Struthio camelus: one gene and its partners. The protein of the gene in region 1 purifies or fractionates together with the protein of each later gene. This does not show direct contact. Links are inferred from orthologs where the notes say so. Each region holds a gene or a part of one and is shown in the gene's direction. Other genes may lie near its edges.

Region 1 (7,786 bases):
GGGTTGTTTGTGCTTCTATTACACAGGCAAGCAGTGTAATAGAAGGGCTTCCTAATGATTTGTCCATCCTTTGCAACATCTCTTTCACCATTCTCTATGGCTGGCCATCAGGTTCCAGTACCGCGCAACCACGTTTTTCATCCTCTACTAGATGTCAAGCAATGGGACACGGCACTGCAGGAGTTGCACCTCACTTAAAATTGGAGTGAAGGTGCCAGGGAACGAGGTCCCCGCACGATGGGAGCCGATGCCCTTGCAGAGCCGCTGGAACCTGCGTGCCCACCTTGCTGAGCTTTGGCGTGACAGAGGGTGACAGAGCAGCCCTGTGCTGCTCTGCACCCTGGCAGACAGCAGAGCTGGACGGCTGGCTTTACACTGATGCCAGCCACTGCCTGGCTGCAAGGCTCGAGGCGACAGGTAGAACAGACTGGTGGGTAGGAGGGTGCTGATATGCTGGAGAAATTGAAATAATTCCCATCTGCAGGAAAAGTTCCCTCCCTCAAGGTCCCCTCCTGAACACCAAAAACCAGCCCTGAGGCCTCACCTGCCCCCTTTTCTAGTGCCTGACTTGCCCATACTGGCTTCCTCCATAAGCCTTTGTGGTTCGCTCCTTGGCCACAAGGAAATCTGTGAGCCCTTGGCATAAAAAACGTGCTCAGAGCAACGGGAATTTTGCATGGAAATAATCAGCTGAGAGGGCAGGGCTAGCATAGGACAGCACTGGCCTTGGGTGCCCAGCACCACACAACTGGGGCCTCCCAGGTTAGGCTGCCCAGTGGGAAAAAAACCCGTGCTCTGCCAATTCCCATTAAGCTCTTGCTATCCACTTTCTCCTAGTGCTGCAATCTCTTTGCATTTTATTCTGTTATAGTTTGCATTGCTGCCTGCAATTTCCAAGCCTCACCACTACCATCCTTGAACACCCTGTGCACTCAGCACCAGCATCTTGCCCAGACACAGGCGAACCAAGGCACGCGCTCAGAGCAGACCCGTACCTTCTGAAAGGCAAGTCACCATCTCTTCGAATCCAATCCACCATCCAACAATCATGACCTTTCTGCCAGCCTGTAGAAAACTAGTTTCATTCATTCTTTCATTTTTCTTCTTCTTCTTTAGGTGCATTGTCTGCAGGAAAAAAAAAAAATAAGGGAAGCTCACTCAGGAGGGAAGACTTGCAGCTCCTTCTGAGCACAGGGCTCATGATGGGAGACTCCTGAGGACACCTCTGCCTGGGGTGCCAGTGCAGCCATGACACGGACAGCGGCGCCAAATGGCAGCATGGTCATTTGTCTATCATACGACCAAAGTATACACGTGCAAGCCCAGATGTGCTAGTTCAGAGGACACCACGGTTACCCCCAGTCCTTTGGGGGTAAATCCATCCCTTTGTCCTGTTTGGTTTCTAAATCCCTTGGCTGTCATACATATCGAATGGAAAAAGAGAGTTTGCTGTCTGCATAGGCCGAATCAGGACTGCCAGGGACACAGCAGCGCAAGCAGATACCTGAGCCAGACTGGATGTGCACGAGTAGAAACAAGAAGCCCGGACTTCAGCAAGCAGTGTGTGGCATGGCACCCAAAGGGAAACACTGTTTTGGAGTGAGGCACCCCGGGAGTCACCACCCAGCCACTAAGGGTGGCCCCAGGGTGGCCCTCAGAGCGGGAGGATAACACTGAAGAGAGTGGCCATCCTGTTTCCCAAAACAGACTGCTTAGAGCGGCAACACACCAAAGGGGCTCAAAGCAACACAGACCCCGCGGGCATGAGAAGAGGCCTGGCCCGGACCCTCGCAGCACCCCACGGCGGCCTCTGGCCGAAGCAGAGCGCGGGCGGTGCCGGCCCAGGGGCAAAGCCACCCGCACGCCCCAGGGCCACCGTGCCTCCAGCTTCCTCCGCGGCCTCAGCCAGGAGCTGGGCGCCGCCGCCGGGACTACCGGCCCGCCGGGCCCGCGTGGGCCGGGGCTCGGGGCGCGCACCCTCCGAGCCCCGCTCCCACTGAGCGGCCGCCGCCAGGCCGCCTCCCGGGAGCCCCGCGGCTCCTCGGCCCCGGCCCGCCCGCGGCCCGCTGCCCTGCGGGGGCAGGCAGCGCCGAGCCCCGGGCAGGCGGCTCGCTCCGCCGCCCTGGGCCCTGCCACACCGGCAGCACCCTCACCCTGGCACACCGGAGCCCGGCTGCGCACAAGGCCCCGCGCCGGCTCCCCGCGCGCCCGGCCCCAGCGCCACCACTGTGCACCCCGGCCGCCGGGCACTGCCCGGGCTCAACAGTTGGCCCAGCTGCCCGGCGGGCAGCGCCATGCCGCGCTCCGCCGCTGCCCACCGCCCTTCAGGCAGGGCCACGGACACACGGCAGAAGCCCCAGCCAGCAGCGCTTCGGCCATTCGCAGGCGGCACGGAGACCCCGCTGCCCTGCTCCCTGCTCGCCCTCACGGCAGGATGGGGCCCTGCCTTTGCCCTTGGTGTGCCCTGTAGCTCCTGGGGCGAGCCTGTATCTGCACGCTCCCTCTCCAGATTACCTTTGCTACAAGATGCAGCTGCCTCCTTGAAGTTAGCTTTAAAAGAAGAATTCAGCCTTTTCCCTCCTCCTCTGTGGATGCTTCTTCTGCAGAGCTAACATCTGCGTTTGGGGGGGAGCAGCCAGCAACAGCACTGTCCCTCACCTCGCCTCCCATCACACAGCCCAACCGCCGGCAGACATGCACGCAGCCCAGGGGCCGGGGCTGCGTGGGGCTGCTGAAGGGTCACCCTGGGTGGGACAGGCACCCCATCGCGCAGAGGACCCACAGGAGAGGAGCAGCAGGGAGGGCTGAAGGAAGGGCCATAGGCCCAGGGCGAAGGGAAGGCCAGGGTGCTGAACATCACAGCCTCCCCGGGGGAAGCAGTTGAGGCAGGCACGACAGGCCCACAGGTACAGAGCGAGGCGCTGGCAGGGACATCGGGGCAGCGGAAAGAGGAGCAGGGGGACCTCGAGCATGGCCCACCTCTGCCTCAGGCTGCGGGGCACTCCATATCCCAGGTGGGTAACGCCAGCAGAGGCACGCGCGCCAGCACTGCACAGCGTGGACAGGGCCGGGGGGCCAGGGTCTGCGAGGGCCAGGGCCTGCAGGGGACAGGCTGGGGAGGGGACAGCACTGCGGCAGCACCTGGGAGAGGCTCACAGCCCGGGCAAGGGATCCCGCCGCTGCCAGGGCCCGCCACGGCGAGGCGGGAGGGGCCGCCACGGCGCAGGCTGCCTGCCCCGCGGCTCGGAGGCGCCCTGTCCACAGCCCGGCACAACTGGGCGTCCCTGGTCCCCGAGTGCCCCCCGAGGCAGCCCCGCGCCGGCGCCCTGCCACCCGGGCCGGCGCCGGGAACTGCCAGTGCTGGGTGAGGGGCCCGGCGCAGGGCTGGCTCGAGGGGCGCTCGGGGGCCGCACGGGCCCAGGCGGCCGTGGAGGGGCGCGGGCACCGGCGCGGCGCGGAGTCGCGGCCCGGTCCCAGGGGCGCGGGCCCGGCGGGCCGCCCTGAGGGCGGGGGCCGAGGCGGCGCAGCCCCGGGGCCAGGCGAGGCTGTCACTCGCCGCGGCAGCCGGGGCCGGGGCCGGGGCCGGGGCCGGGGCCGGGGCCGGGGCCGGGGCCGGGGCGGAGCGGGGCGGGCCCGGCGCCGCGGCCGGGTGGGAGCAGGCCGGGGGCGGCGCGGCAGGGCACTGCCAGCGGCGCCCCCCGCTCGGCCCGGCCCGGCCGCGGGCTGGGCCCCGCCGCGCCGGGCACCGCGAGGCGACGCGGCGGTGGCGGGGCCTGCGAGCTCCGTGCCCCGGGCGGGGGCCGGCTGGCGGCCGCTGAGAAACTTCCAGCCCGCCGCGCCGTGCCCCGCGTGGCGCGGGGGAGGGGGGCCCCGGGGCCCGGGCCGCCCCCATGGCGCTGCCCGCTCCCGGGCGCGCCCCGGCCTAGGCGGGGGGCTCGGCGCGGGAGGGCACCGAGCGCCATGTCCGCCTCCCACCGCCCTCCGCAGGGGCGGGGGCCCGTGCTCGGCCCGCTCCCCCGCCGCGGGCCCACGTCGGCCCGGCGGCGTGCGGGCAGCGCGGCGGGAGGGTCAGCGCCTCCGCGCCGCTCCGCCCGTGCCCCGCGCCGCCAGCGCGGCTCGGCTCGGCCGCGCTGCGCCGCGCTGCCCGGGCGGCGCGGGGCACGTCCCCTCGCCGCGCCCGGCCGCGGGCACCTCGAGGTGCGCGGTGCCGTCGCCCGCCTCTCCGCCGCTGCCCGGCGGTGCCGCCAGGCTGCCCGTCCAGCGCAGCGCGCGCCCGGGCGCCGAGCCCACTGGCCGGGCGTGGAGCGCCCGCCGCCCTCCTCCCTCTGGGTGTGGAGCCCGGCTGCCCGCCCCGGGTGCGGGCGCCGGTGCCCCGGCGCCCCGGCTCGGGGTCGTGCGTGTGCGTGTGCGTGTGTGTGTGTGTGTGTGTGTTGTGTGCGTGTGTGTTGTGTGCGTGTGTATGCGCGGGGCTCCCCCCGCGCCTCGCCGCGCCGCGCCGCCCGGAGGTGCCGTCCGCGCCGCGCGGGGCGCGGAGCGCCGCGGACAGGCGGCCCCTCCCCAGGCGGGGAGCGACCTCCCCTCCCGCGCCCCCTCCCCCGGGCTGTGCCGGGTGCGGAGCCCCCTCCCTCCCGCTCGTTCCCTCTCCGGACTCGGCTGGCTCTGCACAGCCCCCCCCTCCGTGCGGGCAGGGCTGGCCGCGCGGCGCGCCGGGAGCTGTAGTCCGCGAGGCGGCGGGGCAGCCGGCGGGGCGCGGCGGCCGGACTACACTTCCCGTCAGGCCCCGCGGCGGCGGCTCGCTCTCGCCCTCACACTCCGGCTGCCGCTGCCAGTGTCTCCGCCGCCGCCGAACCGCCGCTCGCAGCGCCCAGTGTCCGACCCGCCGCCTCGGGCAGGGGCCCGCCTCGGCCCGCCGCCCCCCGCCGCCCGCCTGGCTCGGGAAACAGGTGCGTGCCCTCCCCCCCTGGCCCGCCGCTGCGCTCCGGACACCCGGCCCCGCTGCCCGGGCACCCCGGGCCCGTTCGCCCCGCACCCACCACCGAGGGGAGGCGGACGGAGCGGGCGGCCCGACCCTCCGCCCAGCCGGCCGGGGTCTCCATGGAAACGGGTCCCGGGACACCCCCGGGCGGGCGGCGCTGCGGGGCGGCGCGGCGCGGGGCGGCGCGGCGGGGCGGGGGGGCAGCGTCCTGGAGCGGGACAGCGGAGGGCGGGCGGGCGGGGACCGCGGGCAGTGACAGCGGCCGGGGCCGGGGGCGCCCGCGGCGGGCGGCGGCGGCGGGCTCCGCTCGCTGCCCCGCGACGGGCGCCGCGTGCCGCTGCCTCGCCTCGCGCGGCGGCGGCGGCGGCGGCGGCGGCGGCACCGGCGGCGGCACCTGCCGCTCCCGGGGCGGTGCGGGGGGTCCCGGGGCGCCTCGGCGAGGCGGGGCGGGGCGCGCCGGAGCGCAGCGCACCCGGTGCCTTGGCGGAGAGCGGCGGGACGGCGGCGCCGGGCGCTCCCGGAGTTTCGCGGCGTGGCCCATGCCTGCTCCGGCGCCTGCTCTGGCTGGGGGCGGCTGTGCCCGGCAGAAACTCCCGTCCCGGCCGGCAGGGCTCCGGTCGATCGCGGAAGAGCCCTCCCCGGGGGCAGCGCCGCCGCCGCCAGCTCCATATTCGGGGCTGCCCCGGTACGTCGGCCCGGCCCCGCGGGGCTGCGCGCGGCCCCGGCGGCCCTGCCCGCGGCGGCGGGGCGAGCGCCGGAGGCGGCGCGGCGGAGCGCGGCCCGGGGCTGCCCGCGGGGCGGCCGGGCCAACTGTTGAGCCCGGGCAGTGCCCGGCGGCCGGGGCGCGCAACGGCGGCGCCGGGGCCGCGGCGCGGGGCCTTGTGCGAAGCAGGGCTCCGGTGCGTCGGGGCTCGGCGCCGCGGCCGCTGCAGCTGCCGGGGCGGCGGGGCGAGCCGCCTGCCCGGGGCTCGGCGCTGCCTGCCCCCGCAGGGCAGCGGGCCGCGGGCGGGCCGGGGCCGAGGAGCCGCGGGGCTCCCGGGAGGCGGCCTGGCGGCGGCCGCTCAGTGGGAGCGGGGCTCGGAGGGTGCGCGCCCCGAGCCCCGGCCCACGCGGGCCCGGCGGGCCGGTAGTCCCGGCGGCGGCGCCCAGCTCCTGGCTGAGGCCGCGGAGGAAGCTGGAGGCACGGTGGCCCTGGGGCGTGCGGGTGGCTTTGCCCCTGGGCCGGCACCGCCCGCGCTCTGCTTCGGCCAGAGGCCGCCGTGGGGTGCTGCGAGGGTCCGGGCCAGGTCCCCCTCGCTCCTTGCGTCCTAGGTGAATATAGGCAGCAGCAAGACCAGAGACGAGGCGCTTTCTGCCGCCCCTGGCCTCGCTGGGGGGGAAACCTAAAGCGTCCTTCGACTTAGTGTCAGTGCTTGGCAGGTTTATTGCAGGTTCCTCCGTGAGCTGTTTCCATACCTCACCTCGATTTGATTGTGGCTGGAACCAGTTTAGAAAAGCACCTCAAGAAGGTTTCGTAGGTTAAAATCAAGATGAAGTAAGTTTCTCCTCTTTCCAGAGAATCTGCTTCTGAGGACCATTGTTCTTGCTGGATACCGCCAAACTGAACAGGGATCGGCAGGAGCAAAAGGCTTACGCGTCCAGCTTCCTTTGCAGCTTTGAGGTTTTTTTGCCGTGTCTGCATTAGCTTTTTCTTCTCTGCCCTGCGTTTTCGTCACTGTCACCAGCGTCTAGATCTAACGGGTCCTGGTGCCAGTACAGGGCTAAGGACTGCATGGTGCCTGTACAGATCTAGTGGCAATGGTTTTGCTGCCTGATTCTGAAGATACACTTCTGGGAACAGCTGAGAAAGCTGCATCTCGTGTAGTCTGGCCCTCAGAAGGAAACTGCAGCTGGGACCTCTGTGTTCTGGTATACCTCTTGTCTCCTAGGGAATGGCAACCTGCATTCCAGTCGTAGTACTTTGCATGATATGAGGCTTTTCAGACATGAAAATTTTTAGACAGGTCTGCCCTTAGTTGCATCCCTTTTTTTTTATTATTCCTTACAGATTTGCTCTAAGGGGCTTTCATGGGCACAGCCTTTTCTATCTGATTTTCCTGAATGACTGAGGGACTAGCGACACAACTTGTCCAGCAGCTAAGACTTATTATTAAAAGACTACCGAATGTGCAGCGAACTTTGCTATTTTAAACGGAGATGATTTTTTTTTTTCTTTTCCTCTCTTTTCAGCGCATCATGCTGAGTATCTATAATTACTTATAGTGTTACTGTGTCTTTAAATCAGCTTAAGCAAATATATGTAGGCAAAGCCTGGCTCAGCACAGCAACAGCCAGGGGTTTCGGTGTAGCAAAGAGGGAAACCCAAACTGAGATTAGGACTGCCATACAAGCCAAAGGCCAAATCCATTGCATCGTAACAGCTTCCGCAGAAGTGTGTGGTAGACATGGTCTGGCTTCTTGATGGCTGAATTTGGTTACAGGCTTAAGTGTTCCTTGTTGCTGCTATAACTTCAGACCTCTACGTGAGGAGTAACGTGATACCTGGGGGGAAAAAAAAAGGTTTATTTTGTATGTTTTTAGATTTCTCTCTGGCTGCATTTGAGATCCATAGTGAGTCCTGTGAGAGGATCATCTTGATTACCACTCCCCTCCTCCCCCAGCCATTCACTTTAAAGGGGTTGTCAGAAACACTGTGCGGGGCTGAATCCTGCTAAGACATCTTAGGAAGTTCTCCGCTTTTGCACTCAGGCTGGACCTCTGTACCTCACATGGACGCTTGATGATCACATACAAAAACAAATATAATTTCTT
Region 2 (7,553 bases), on another chromosome or scaffold:
ATCTTCCTCGGTGTTTATTGCAGCCATAACAACTACAGGGATCCGAGTTTGACTCGTTCTGTGCAGTTGAAATTATTTCAATGGATACTAGGGCAAAAAGGGAACAAAACCCAGTATGTTTGAAGTATCTGAAGGTGCACTGAGGATGAGGTTAGAAAGGTGCTGCAGGTACCTTTACGATAGGTTTGTTTCTGTATTTCACCAATTTTGTTTTCTATCTTTATTCTTCTATACTTCATATATAGTCTTCTACATCTTGAATTCTTGTAGTATACAAGGGGGAAGAATATAAGTGATGCTGGAAAACCAGAAGCTGATTAAAAAAAACAGTTGATCTCCGCTTGACGTAATTTAGTTATTTTGAATGTTGTCAGTCTATCGCTGTCAGATTAGACTCTCATCTAAAAAGTGGACTCCCATCTCCCACTGTATCCAATGTCTTGCACTGCTCTGGTACAACTTGGATGAAAAGCACTACATTCTTAAGATGCTACTGTCGTACAGTTTTTGATGAAGTGGAGATACTTCAGGAGTGTTCTAGAGTGGTAGTGGGGGCAAGAATTGTTTCCTTGTTTGGCTGCTTGTTGCAAGGTTGCTTTGAACAGTGGCATGTGTCTTTGAGCCCCAGCGCTATCTTTCTACCATATTATCTCAGACGAATAATTGTGATGTTTTCTGTTTTTACAGTGAACTAGTCCTAATTTTCCTTGCCTTATTGATATGCCTGCTCGCTTTCAAAAACATTCTTCAAAAGGAGTGTTTTTGCTGCAAGTCTCATCTCCCCTGTGTGCAGATGAGGTTCTTGTTTAGCTCCAACCTTCTCCCTTGTTTTCTAGCACCTAGCTCTCTATGCCAGAACTGTGCTCTCTGGACCCTTGAGTTCAGTCTTTGCAGGGCTGCCTTATCCTCAGGATTTCCTAACTGAGGTCCATGAAATTTTCAAGCTTGTTACCGATGGAACAAAATACAGAAGTCTTTCAAGCCTGATTCTCAGGCTTTGCCAATCCTGTGGCACACTTCTAATATTAAAAATACTCTGTCTTTTTACAGTGTGTGATCTCCATAGATTGTGAATCGCCAGCAACAAAAATCAGCTTCTCTGCCTGCAGAAATGGAGACCGTGAGGCACTTGGGCTGGGGGAACAGTCTCTTTTACCTAAGAGGCAAGAGAAATAGCCGGGAATAGAATCCAAGTTCTGGGAGTAAATCCAGTGCTCTGTCCTGGAGGCTGCACTCGGGTCTCTAATGCCATGTTTTTGCCAGTGTGTTGGTGAAAATTCCCTTCCCCCTACAGTTGTGCAGCTATTCAGCTAGCTTCTGCCTGCAGCCCAGTGATGCTGCAAGTATGTAGGTCAGAGCTCTTCTGGATCTGATAAGCGTTAAATCAAGCTTACACTGATCTTGGTTGCTGCAGTCTTTTCAGGTATTTGCATTAGGGTTAAGCTCCCCCCACCCCCCTTCCTCCTCTGGATTCTCTGTGGTAAAAGGCCCTTACTTTTAATTTATCTGTGGCTGATACGGAGTAAGATTATCTATATGGCTCCGAATGGCAAATCTTCGGTTCAGGATTATTTGCACTGGAAAGATTACCTATGTGTGTAACAATTGAAATTGGTACACCCATCTTCTGAAAAATCTCCTTCTTTGCCTTGCAGGTTTAGTGAAGGATGGGTCTTTTTGTGTTACTAATATTGACTTACTCATAGGACTTTGGCTATCAACTCTGCAGCAGCTTCTGTTTCAGGGCAAAGATAATGAGCATCTAGACTAGCTTGGGAGGTTCATTATGAGATATGTAGGGCACAGTGGGGAGGTAGCTGTCAGTGTGATCATAATATATCTATGACAATCTTATGCCAGTTGCAGGGGGTGTGGTGTTTTTGTTGTAACTTTCCCATACTTCTAATTCAACAGCTAAATTCAAAGTCCACTGTGGACTGAATTTTCTCTGTTACATCTTTAGAACAGGTGGATCAAATATAAAGCATGTCATCACCAGTATCACTCTAAATTTATAACTCATTCGCAGATCATAAGTAAGCATGGAATTTAGCTTTCTGCCTGCTCCGAGACTTATTTAGATTCCTCTTCTGTAGAGAGCAACCCCCATTCCCCTCTACGGAATCTGATTCCCAGTCTGAGAGTGAGCTCATAGTTACTGATCACAAGCCAAATTGGAAACCTTGATCTTTGGCAGCAGCAGGAAAAGGGATTTAGGATTATTGCTTTTGCAGATATGTTGCCCGCAGACCACCTTCTGTCATCTGATCCTCTTAGCCAAGCTGTTTTAATGTAAATAAAAAAGAACAAGCAAGGGGGAAATAAAGGCAGTGTTATTTTTAATGCAGTGAATGTAGTTTTCAGGGTTGGTGTACAAGATGGAGTGACTGAGGAGGAAAGAGGAAAATATGGTATAATCAAAAGGTCACAGATCGGAGGCTTCCTTTTTTTAGATAATTAGGTCCTAGTGAATGGTTAACAGATTGTCTAGTTACCAACACCAGGATCTTGAGGAGCCTCTGTTAGTATCAAAAGTCTCCTATATATAAGCATCACCTGATACTTTCAGATGCTCAGCCAGCTGGTAGGAAGTACACTTCAGAGAAGCATAGCATAATTTAGGTCAGAAGAGACCACTGGAGGTCCTCTGGACCAGGCTCCTGCTCAAAGCAGGGTTAACTCTGAATTTAGATCCATCTTGAGAGTTAGATCAGGTTGCTCAGTCATCTTCAAGTGCTCCACAACTAATGAGCTGCTCGGCATCCTGAAGCCTGTCATACAAGATTCTCAAAATAAGCAGTCTTCTCTCTATAAAATTCCAAGGAACTATTAAAAACCTATTTGAATGATATGACACAATGTAGAATTGTCCTCTGAGCCCTAAGAGGTTTTTTTTGGTTGAGAATCCATAATCCTGAGTCTCCCACCTCTCTGGAGAGGCAAGCCCTAACCAGCAGGCTCCGAGGAACACTATCGAGGCTCTCTGTGTAAAGTGAACCTGCTCCTGGTTTTGGATTAAATACTTCTAATAGTTGCATTCTCACTGGTTCTGTCACTCCGGTGAAAGTAGAAGACTAAAGGTTAAGTCCGGTTAAGTCCCTTGTTAATTTATACAAAGCTGCACATCTCAAAGAAAGGAAAGAAGACTGAGTATCTTAGGGGCTGGGCTGCTACCCTGGGCTGTGGATTCAAGTCTGCAAGCAAGCTCTCGAACTGAGCGTTTCTAAATTCCCAGGAAATTCTTTAGTTTATTAGGTTAGAAGGTATTTTCTGGTGAGTAGTACTGTTTTTTGTTTAATAAAGTGTGGCACGTAACCTGGGCCCCTGAGAAAAGGGCAAGCTGTGACTTACGGTGTGTTTGTGCTCGGCAGTGCAACGCAGTGCTGGTGCTACCACTTTGCTTACAGGTAGACTGGAGATGTATATGCTGCAGTGCTGTGAAAGCATACTCATGTTCTAAAAACATCAACAAAGATTTGGAATAAAGCACAGGGTTGCACAGTCAGACCCTGTTTGTGACAATCTCGACCACTTAAAAGCCACTCCGGGGTGGCACAAATACGGTCTGTGGCAGTGCGATGCTGCACCCAGGCTAACCACTCCAGGTACCTTGGAGGGGGTACCTCTGTCTGCTGTCCCTGCTGAGGGAAAAACTTCAGCCTGCTCTTTTCCTCAAAACCTAATACCTGTCACTCTGGCACGTATTCCTCCCTCGCCCTTTTAGAAAATCTTACCTGTGTCGGGGTACACAGCTGAGGTTTGCTGTTGCGCTAACAGAGCACCGCTTTTGCTGTATTTACATAGGCCTGAGCCCTCGTCTCTGCACACCGGCTCCTTGCTCAGCTTCGGTTTCTGCAGGTCCTTCACTGGGCTCCGTGGTTTTCGGTGCAATTTTCAGCTCAAAGCGCCTCGCGCCGCTTCCCTGAGCGGCCACTGAAGATCGCATGTCATGGCTTTTGCAGGGGAAACGCGAAGACGATTAACAGAGAGCTAACCACACGTAATTCTTGACTTCAAGCCACCCTTGCTGTGGTATTTGCGCTGTGTTTGTCAACTTTCTCGTTAGGAAACTCCAGTGGCACGAAAATACCCAAAGATTTGGGGGGGGGGGGGGAGGGAAGGGTTGGGACGACTCTGAGCTGCTCCTTTTAAGCACAAGCAACGCACAGGGCGCCGCGGAGGTGCGCGGCCGCCGCGCCTGCCCCCCGCGGCCCGTTTGGAGCCGCCGCTCGCCGTGAAGCGACGCGAGCGCTCCGGGCACGGCGCGGAGCCGAGGCCGCTTGGCGCACGGAGCCCGGCCTGCTCCCCGCACCTCCCGGTGCCCCTCTGCCCCGGGGCCGGGCCGGGGCGCGGCGGCGCCTCAGGGACGCGGGGGCGGCCCCGCCGGGGGGGAGGGGCGCTGCGGCCGTTGGGCCCGCGCGAGGCCCCCGCGGCCTATTGTGAGGCTCCTGGCGCGGCCGCCCGCCTGCCTGAAAGACCCGCCGGCCCGCGCCCTCTCCTCCTCGCTTCCTTTCCGCTCCGGTTGGGCCCTCCCCACTCCCGAAGGAAGCGGCGCGGGCCCGCTTCTGTTTGCAGCCCCTCTTTGCGCGGTGCGGGAGCAAAAGCGGGGAGGTTTTGTTCAGGCGGCCGGTGCGGGCAGCCCGGCGGTTGCGAGGCAGCGGGAGGCGGGTCCTTCGCCCCCTCCCTCCCGCACCCCTCCCCCGCCGCCACATAAAAGCGCCGCCGCAGTCGGGTCGGGAGCGCCGCCGCCGCCGCCAGGTCTCGCTCAGCGCGGAGCCGGACGCCGCCACCGCCGCCTCACGGTGAGGCCTGCGGGCGCGGGGAGGGGCTCTGCCCGCTGATGGGAGCCGCCTGGGCCCGGCCCGGTGCGGGCCGCCCGGTGGAGAGCGGCCGCGGTGCTCCCAGGGGCCGCTGAGGGCCTGGGCGGCGGCGGCGGCGGCGTGAGCTTTCCCCCCCTCCCCCCGGCCCGGGGCTGCGGGGCCCTCAGGGAAGCGCGGGGGAGCGGCGCCGCCGGGCCTTGCCCCTCCCCGGCCGCGCAGGTGCCCCTGTTCTCCTCCTCCCCCCCCCCCCACACACCTGGGGCTCCTCGGGCGGCCCCGAGCCCCCCTTCGTGGCGCGCGGAGGTGTCTCTGGCGCAGCTGAAACGCGAGCCGAGGGTCTCGGACGTGGCTTTAGGAAATAGCCGCGGCGTTTCACCTAGCGGCACGGAGGGGTTGGGGGGGACCGGGCACGCATCCTGAACAGCTTCGCGAGGCGTGCAGTTGCCCAGTCGCGCTGTTGTAGAGGGCTGGGCTCTGCGTTTCGGGCTTATGCCTGCCGGTTGCCGCTGTAATTGGGGTTTGTCTCTTGACCGGCTCCCGGCGTGTTTTGATGCTGTCAGATACAGCTTTTGGGACTGGTCTGCTTAGTCACCCTATTGTGTTGTTATCTGTGGCCTATCTGTTTCCAGAGTTGTATTGCAGTTCGTTAAAAAGGACTATTTTCTTCCAGTAGACTCTGCTCTGTGGTAAGAAATAATAAAATTTAGATAAAGGCCTTACCTGTTACGGGTTAAAAAAGCAGTAGGCTAGCTTCATTCTACCTGATTCAGGTCCCTAACGAGAGTCTTAATGCGAATATTCTCATGGGGGTGAAATTTCCTGAGATAGCATCACTCTCTTACTGGCTCAGTTGTGCAGCATTATGTAATCCTAGATACCACGAGCCTAAGAAAGCTCGTATATCAAACTAGATTTGTTCTTGAGTGCTCTTAGCCTGTCGCTGCAAGAACAGATGTTAAATCTGAAATGTGCAGTTGTATGTCTTTTTCAGAGCATCCTTCAAGCCAGAAACTCACGACCATGTTTTAATCCTAATTTTATATGTGTGTATATTATATACATAAATATATATGTGTATATATAAAAGGAACAGCCATGACTGTGTCCCTCCAAAACACACATCATCTTAATTAGAAGTAGCACTGTCATATAAGGTTACATTACTGTATAAACATTAACTAGCTAGTGGCTCTGCCAAATGGAAATTAAAGCAGTGAGGACTTCAAGCTGGTGTGAGCTGCTTAATAACGTATGTTGGCTGGCCTCCATTGGCCTTGGTTTGTTGCAGTACTGCCCAGCTCAGCAGTACTGAGGAGCTACAGAAGGCCCTTAAAAAGGGATAACATGAGTTAGCTGAAAGTAGTGCGGCTTCCTTCGGTTTCAGTAGTTCAGGTTACCACTTTAAGGAGCTAGCATGTGTAGATGTTCAGCCGGGCAGAGGGAGAATGTGTGAAAATGATAATTCTTTGTCCCTAGAATTTTTCTTTAAAAATTAGTTGCAGGCTGCACCTATAAATGTATGCTTTAGAGGTGGTTTTTTTTTTAAAGCAAATAGCTTGTGAGAAAACTAAATCATTGTAATGGTCTGCTGCTAAGAAGTGTTTTGAATGGTAAAGGAATGCATTATAACACTCATCCCAGTAGCCTGTCAAGATCTGATTTATAAAACTTTTTGCAACCAGGCAGTTGTGTTTATCTGGGTCCTTCATGTCAGTTGATTGAAGTGCAGTGATCCCCAATTAGACTTCTATGTGTAGCTTCAGGCAGAAGTTGTAACCTAGTAACTATTGTATCAAGTCCCTTAGTTCTGTTTTTGAGTTGTTGAGTATCTGGAAAGATGCATTTTAGGAAAACTTGACTATTGGTTTATTGATGGCATAATCTTTAAAGTCTGCTGCTGTTTGTATAGTAGTTTGTATCACTGTTTGTTCCAAAAAACTTTGTTAAAATACTTACTCGTCTTAATAGTTCTTAATGCTAACAAGGTGCTGATGCAACTTCCTACTTTGAAAGAGTAGTGTAAGGTGCTGAAAGCCTTCCTTATGGTGGTATATTGTGTGTATGTTTGCTTTGTTTTTAATCTCCTCAGAAAGCCAAGCTTTTTTCTGAGGGAGAATTGTTCAATCCTGAGTAACTGGTCAGTTGACCCCGCTTTGAGCGGAGGTGTGGGGAGTCTAGCCCATCTCCAGAGGTTCTTTCCAACATTGAGTATTCTGTGACTTAGTTCCAAGAGCTAGAAATTGAAAACTGCTTTTGGATCTGACTTCAGTTAGTTATGATGAGTACCAATTGTTTGGATGTGAAAACAAGTGGTGTTTTGGAAGTGTTTGTGCCACGTTAATTCAAGAGAAAGATAGCTCTAGTGTTGGACCGCAAAAGTATAAGCGTTATTGATGCTAATCCATTTTATGGCTCTCTCGTGCTTTTAAATTTGAGAGAGGCTTGTTTGAATTAATGTTAGACTTCTTTCTATTAATTTCTTAAACATCAGGTTTAGTGAATTTAGCCCTGTTGATCCAAACAGTGAATAGTCTGAGCATGCGTGAGTGACAGTGGACTGCTTGCTGTAAGTAAGAAGCAGTATAAATATTAAAGGTAACTTACAGCTTTAAGGCAGCTAATCTTTGCATGGTAATGTGTCTGCAGAATATTGTGTGAAAATAACTGTCCTTCTCTTGTAGATGCCTTCAATTAAACTGCAGAGTTCAGATGGAGAAATTTTTGAAGTTGATG
Region 3 (6,897 bases), on another chromosome or scaffold:
ATATAATTGATGAAGATACTGACAGTGCAGTAACTGGCATAGGTTTCATGTGCTCAACAATGGTTCAATTGTTGACTAAATGACTGGCAAGTCTTCATATGGATTCACACAGCAATAGTCTGGTCTTAAATAACCTCGTAGGTGCATACTTTCCTTAGGAATAATAGTAATCCCCTCTGGATAAGAATTTTCACACAAGAAGATACTCAGAAATAGCCACTGTTTCCTTTCACGTCCTCTTTCATATGAATAAAGTTTTAACTGAGAAGTCATGCATGCCAGAACATTTATACCATGAGATACAGAGAATATCTTTAACTTTCATGAAGCTATCAGCATAATATTATATTAAATACCATAATCCTATCATGAGTGTTGCCCTAGAACAATGCTAAAAAAATGTCAATTTTAAGAGAGGAGTATAAGACCATATCCTAACTAGAGAGTGAATCCGTGATGCACTTAGTGAGAGGCAAACATATTGCACATTCCTTCTATCTTAAAGATGTGTTTACTTTCGAAGGTCAGCTGAATTAAAATAGGGTGTAAATAACTATTCTGGAATAACCCCACTTTAGACAAAATCAAACTTAAAACTAAGGGAATTTAAAATGAAGATTAAAGTTATTCCTTCTCCTTCCATGAAACATTTTTTTAAGACAACTGATACTGATTTCATCAACTCTGTCACACAAACTATCCAGGTAACACACCATATAAATATTTAACAGAAGACAAGTTTAAGTTTTGTGTGTTCATATGGGGATCACCAGATGTCAGGTCTGGTTATGGAAGTCCCCAGCTTTGTCACTTTGTACCAAAGTCCTAGGAACATTATTGTCTCTTTGAAATACTCTCTTGATTAAGCATTTAACTATTATACACACCTCTTTGGTGTGTTTTTCTGCATTATTGGTAAAAGATGTTCTTCTGAAGACAGAAGCGTTGGCTTAGATAATCTATTTCAGAAATAAAACACGATTCCGTAAATGGAGAAAAGTCAGTATTTTCCAGAGGAGAAAGAAATGCAGTTCTCAGGGGAACACGGGTATTGTCTCACCCAGACTTGTCAGTAATGTGGTACATGTTGTGTATCCCAGGGTAGTGTCCTGTTACTGGACTAAGTTCAGGATTTGCTTGGAGTTGCTTAGTGCAGCTTTCTTCATAATCTCTTACGAATTGAAAACACTGCATGGAGCAATTATCCTTCCCTTGCCCAGCCCTTCAATGCCACCTGGTCCTATCACAAACCACTGATCTTTTAACTGTGGTGTCAACATTGGGGGCTTAGTGCTTTCACGGGTGTTTACTTTTGTTCCTGTTTGTAGATAGAACAAGGCATGAGAAAAATGACATTTCTTTCCTCTTCAGAGTTATTAAAAAACAAGACTCATCATTGCACAGAGAAGGCACCATGGCCCATCTACTTGATCTCTTGATGCCCTACTGAATCACATTTAAGCTCCTAAAACAAGGATTAGTTGGGATTTCAGTGGGAAACAGGCCCAGTGCTGCTGGGGAAACATCATGATCTTTAAGCAGAGTGGTTTGGGTGATGTCCATGCAGCAGAAGGGCTGGAATGCTACAATTGGAAAGATTACTCGGCTGTTAGGGATAACATTTGTGGTTGGCAGTTATGATTCTCCCTGCTGATTAGAAGTGGTTCTCTCCAAGAATAGTTCCTGAGGGATTACAACATATCCCAGTGTTTTGCAACCATCAATGGAAGTTTTGTTTTGTTTCTTATAATCCGTATGGGAAAAGTATGCTGTGACAGAGGAAAGGTCAGGAGAAAGAGGTTGTTTCAAAATAATTGTCTTCTGAAAGTGGAGAAATAATATGTTTTTTTATGCAGTAGAGAGAGTGCAATATGTAAAAGGGCACAAGGAGGCAGGTTTCTCCACTGCTTCCTGTTTAAAGCTTTCTACGTAGAGTGAGATTCAAGGAGTGGTGAAAGTCATCTCATGTAATTCTAGATTTTTAAAGACCAGTGTCCAGTTCCGAAATATTTGCGCAAAGCTCTCTTCATAGTCAATGGAGAGAAATGGTCTCCAAAAGTGAGAAAATCATCTGCTTGAATTACCTTCTGTAGGTGCTTATTTCTCCCTGTTGGGTTTGGATCTGGGTGGCTACTTCCTACAGGTGTCCAACTTAATGAATCCCTTTCCAACTGGCTGTCTCAGGCTTGGCCCACCCCCAGAGGTGCAGTCCCTACAGTGTGTTTGCAATTCACACCAGGTCCTAAGAGTAGCATAAAAATAGAAGAACGAATGAAATTGGGAAAGGCAAAGAAAGAGAAAGGCAAGGGAAACCAATTAGCTAAGAAAACCGAAAGCAGAGAACATGACAATACTGGTAGCAGGATATAGACGTGGAAGGAAATTAGGATACGCGACCAGCCACCAAGTAGGAAATACTATGCAGGCTCGAAATTGCTGGTGTACAGGATTGCTGGAGAGAGGTCAGGAAACTGGGCAGTAGCAATACCTCTACATAAATGTCAGTGTTCCAAATAACAGGACGTTTCGCTGGGCTTTTGTGGGTTCCCTCAGGAGATAACGTCAAGCACTTGACCTACATTTTCCTTTCCTTCGTTATATACCACTATTTCTCGCTGAAATCCTTTTGGAGAACTTTGGCTCCAGAATCAGAAAGTTTCTCCATTGTCTACTTACTAAATTTTCAAAGAGCTCTACACCTTCAGTTATGCTTTTCCACACACTTAGGCAAAGCTCCCCTCAGGCACATTTTGTTCTCCTTGAAATCCTGTTGTTCCTTGACAAAGGCTATGCAGCAAAAATTGCTCTGATCACTGTGATGCTGACCAATATCATCCCGTTGTCTGCCAGTACTCTGCCATCTACCTGTATCTGACTGCTGCCTTTTGTTACGTACTTAGGACATGTGCTCTTTGTTCTGTTTGTACAGCATCTTGCAAAATGGCATCCTACTCCGTGACTGGGGCTCCTGTGCACTGCTGTAACACAGGTAACAAATAATAGTGTTTTGTTTCATGTTACTGTGTTGCATGTGAACCACGTTGTACTTCTGCACTTTTAAGTACAAAGGCCAAGCATTACATGTGGATACTAGATAACACCGTTATCTTCTGATTTTGTATCAGCACCTATCACATTCTCCCTGTGCCTCACTGGCCTGCGTGGTTTCTAAGCAGACCCCCACGAAGCATTCATTTTATCTCCTTTCCCTCCTTAAACCAAAGCACGGCCCGGCAAAAATTTCTCTGGAAAGGAGAACGAGGCAAACGAGACGTTATTGCAAACGTTATTCTGTGCTAACAGAAACGCGGTCTCAGCGGGAAAGCAGCGCCGGCCGGCACGAAAACACGCGAATGCCGCATCGCTCCTGATTTGGCCCGGGACGCTCCCTCGCGTCTCCCCGACGGGCAGAGCCCCGCCGCCGCCGCCGCCCCTTCCCGCAGCGAGGCCCGGCCGCCCGCCCGCCACAGCGCCGTGCCCCCGCCGCTCGCCGGCCCTTGCCCGCTCCGCACCCGCCGGCGGCCCGCGGCCTGGGCCGCAAACCCTGCGGAGCAGCACGGCGCCGCCGGGAAGGGCGGCGGGGCGGCGGCGGACCGCGCCGCGCCCGGCCTACCCCAACACCGCCGCCGCCATGTGCCACCAGGCGGCCGGGCGCCCCGCGGGACAATGGCAGCGGCCGCCGCCGGGCCCGGCCCTCAGCACGCCCCCCCCCCCCCCCCGCCGCCATGCCGCGGCCCCTCCCGCCGGCGGCGCCCCCAGCAGCCCCCGCGGCGCCCGGTCCCTCCGCCGCCGCCGCCCGGCCGCCACCGGCCGTTGCGAACCTGCCGCCGCGCGCGGCCCGCCGGGCGCCGCGGCCTGCGGGCGGCCGCTGGTTGGCGGCGGGGGGACACGTGAGGGGGGAGGGGGCAGCAGCGGCGGCGGCGGCGGCAGGAGTTTCCCCGACAGCTGGAGGTTGCGGCGGCGGCTCCTCCTCCTCCTCCTCCTCCTCCCCCCCGGGTCCCCGCTAGAGACAAGCGCCCCCCGCGCTCCTCCTTATTGACAAATACACAAAGGGCCGCGCCGGGCCGCGCCGCGCCGGGGGGACGCGTCTGGAGCCGGCATGGGAGACAAGAAGAGCCCGACCAGGTAGGGGCAGCGCCGGGGCCCGGTACCGCGGAGAGATGGCGGCCGGCGGGGCGCTCCCGGGGGAGGCGGCGGCGGCGGGGCCGGCGTGACGGCGGTAGGTTTCTCTCCCCCCCCCCTTTTCCACCCCCCCCCCCCGGCCCCGCTGTGTGCGTATGTCTCCGCAGGCCGAAGCGGCAGCCGAAACCCTCCTCGGACGAGGGTTACTGGGACTGCAGCGTCTGCACCTTCCGCAACAGCGCCGAGGCCTTCAAGTGCATGATGTGCGACGTGAGGAAGGGCACCTCCACACGGTGAGTGCCCGCCGCGCCGCGCCACGCCACGCGGGGAGCCGTTGGCCGGGCTCCCCCCTCCTCCCCCCGGCCACCCCGCGCCGTGAGGGAGACCGGCTGTGACAGGAATGAGGTCACGTTTAGCGGGGAGCCCCGGGCTGGGGGCGGGGGGGGGGGGTCGCAGCGAGACTTCGTCTCGCTGCGACCCCCCCCCCCGCCCCCAGCCCGGGGCTCCCCACTAAACATGACCCCAGGCAGGCCCCGCTCCTCCGTGCGTGGACTGCGGCCCGATGAGATTTACTGACTGGAGAGAGGGTGGTGTAACCGTGTCTCCTCCCCGAGGTTACCGCGCTGTAACTGCCGGGAGAGGAGCGAAAAATAATAATAATAAAAACAACAGCCAAAAAAATAATAGTCTGTACAGCCCAAACATTTGCAAGGCCGTGCCCCTCGCAGAAGGGAAGAGCCATCCCCCCCCCCCCCCCCTGCTGGGGCATGGTTGGTTGGTTAAAACCCTCACCTGAATTAATATCTCTTTTTTCTTCTTCTAAGGAGTTTAACTTCGTCTCCCTAAAATGTCATTTATACCCCCCTCCTCTTCACCCCCCCCAACCGGCTGCTTGCTTTCATCCACAGAGCTATTTTGCTCCACCATGCAGATTTTGGTGGCTGTAGAGATGGATAGTGACTCTTGGCTGTTTCAAAAGGAATTGTGAATGGGCTGAGTTGTGCCGTGTGGAAGTGGCACCCTGAAAAATCAGTGACTTCCCAGGAAGGGCCTTTTTTTCTGTAGCACCCATTTGAAAGCTTGCAGTGAATTAACTGGTTCCCATGTGTATCTGTATTGTTCAATAATATGGCCTAAATGGACGCGCTTGGGGAATGGAGGATTTTTATAAAACCAACAGGACTGCACTTGTAGTCTTTGTGTGCTGACAGAATATTATTAAAGAATCCTTTGTGGTGATTATCATACCTATTGGCTAATCCTGTCAGCAAGAGAAGTTTAAGTGGCAATAAAAGTTGCAATCCTATCAAAAACAGCAATTACGTTCTAAATATCATTCAAAGCAATATGGAATATGAATTGCAACAAATGTATGTTTAAAATCAAAAGTGCAAAGTTAAGTCAAATTATTTTACAAGTAAGATTCTGCTTTATTTCTAACACCTATTTCCTAGACTTCTGAAAACCTGAATGAATGTCCAAAGTACTTCTGATAACTTAGTCTTGAATGCTTGTTGATTTTTGTTTTTTTTTTTTTTTTAATAATAAGGGAATCGGTGAGATAAATGTGCTAAGAGGAACTGTATCTGTCACATATAGCATGGTTTATGTCAAGACTGGCTTTGCGTTTGTGTCATGGATAGGTCTGTATGGATCGATAATATTCAACAGAATAACACTGCTGAAAGAGTGAATGCAAAATCTTTAAAACAGCAGAGATGCGAGTAACAACCTTTTTTTAAACACTACTCAGTTGCATTGGCAAAGTCAGTTTAAGATAGTGTTTTGTCCCACTGGGAACTCAGTGAGATAAAAGCACTAAAACTTAAAAATCTTCGGAATAAATAAGTAGATAAACCAGTTGGCCTTTTCCTCTTGAATGTTTTGGGAGCAAAATATAGAGCTTGAATTTTGGTGTCTCTTTCCTCCCCCACAATGTTCTCGTACGCAGAGTTTTAGCTGGTGCGTTGATTTTTATTTTTCTACTCAAACTCCGCAACAAATGTGTAGCTGACTAGGTTTATGTTTTTTTTTTTTTCTTGTAAGGTTTAAATGGGTCACATTTTCACATGTGTGCAAAGCCCAGGATTTACACATGGCATGAGATAAATACAGGTTGTGGTTTTAGACCAGGCAATTTTAAGCTCCAAATCTGAAACTAGATTTGAGCTAGTAAGTAGACCTTTGTGTCTCTGGAGAGAATCATTTGTGTCTCCCTGGCACCTTAAAGACCATTTGGGTGGACTTTTTTTAAAAGGAGCTGGAGTCCAAAAAACCAAATTGGGTCCCTGTTAAAACATTTGCTCATATTGCCTGTGCAATGAAGTGTTTTTCGTCAATGTTGTTCAAAATAGCAACGCTGTGGAGTTTAGATGGGAATTAATTTTTTCCAGCCTACCATTTTTAAATTTAATGTTTATATGGATTAAGCTGATGCCTCCACAGAGTTCTTAGTGTGCATTGATTCTTAATTCAAAATTTCTACTGCATTTTTTTAACTGATGAGAACTTTATCTATAAGACACTACAGAACACTTTTTTTTTTTTTTTTCCCCAGTTCAGAGAAGCCTGTTTCTTTGTAATGGACTTAATGTCTGCTTCTGAATGTTAAAATCCACCAAATGTGGATGTGTGGAAAAGCAGGCAATTGTAGTGAAGATGAATATTTTTGAAAGCCACTGGAAATCAGTTGTAACATTGATTAAAACAGTTGTAGTTTTCATACTAATCATGTACAATTAACTTTGTAGGAAGTATTTTCAGGTTGGTTTGTGG

What was found. The genes of interacting proteins can lie anywhere in the genome.
Region 2: the proteins of BCORL1 (region 1) and SKP1 purify together in Homo sapiens (affinity purification with mass spectrometry; 3 studies listed by BioGRID and IntAct, with this or other methods). This does not show direct contact. The link is inferred for Struthio camelus from reciprocal best matches to the Homo sapiens genes BCORL1 and SKP1.
Region 3: the proteins of BCORL1 (region 1) and YAF2 purify together in Homo sapiens (affinity purification with mass spectrometry; 5 studies listed by BioGRID and IntAct, counting the BioPlex papers as one, with this or other methods). This does not show direct contact. The link is inferred for Struthio camelus from reciprocal best matches to the Homo sapiens genes BCORL1 and YAF2.

The regions. Positions count from the first base shown.
Region 1 is NC_090952.1:1,778,313-1,786,098, reverse strand, and holds the start of BCORL1 (BCL-6 corepressor-like protein 1), read left to right. Parts: upstream 1-4,775; 5' UTR 4,776-4,943; intron 4,944-7,786. UniProt on the Homo sapiens protein: Transcriptional corepressor. May specifically inhibit gene expression when recruited to promoter regions by sequence-specific DNA-binding proteins such as BCL6.
Region 2 is NC_090954.1:3,872,846-3,880,398, reverse strand, and holds the start of SKP1 (S-phase kinase-associated protein 1), read left to right. Parts: upstream 1-4,538; 5' UTR 4,539-4,802; intron 4,803-5,449; 5' UTR 5,450-5,506; intron 5,507-7,501; coding exon 7,502-7,553. UniProt on the Homo sapiens protein: Essential component of the SCF (SKP1-CUL1-F-box protein) ubiquitin ligase complex, which mediates the ubiquitination of proteins involved in cell cycle progression, signal transduction and transcription.
Region 3 is NC_090942.1:33,985,216-33,992,112, reverse strand, and holds the start of YAF2 (YY1-associated factor 2), read left to right. Parts: upstream 1-3,882; 5' UTR 3,883-4,099; coding exon 4,100-4,125; intron 4,126-4,223; coding exon 4,224-4,415; intron 4,416-6,897. UniProt on the Homo sapiens protein: Binds to MYC and inhibits MYC-mediated transactivation. Also binds to MYCN and enhances MYCN-dependent transcriptional activation. Increases calpain 2-mediated proteolysis of YY1 in vitro.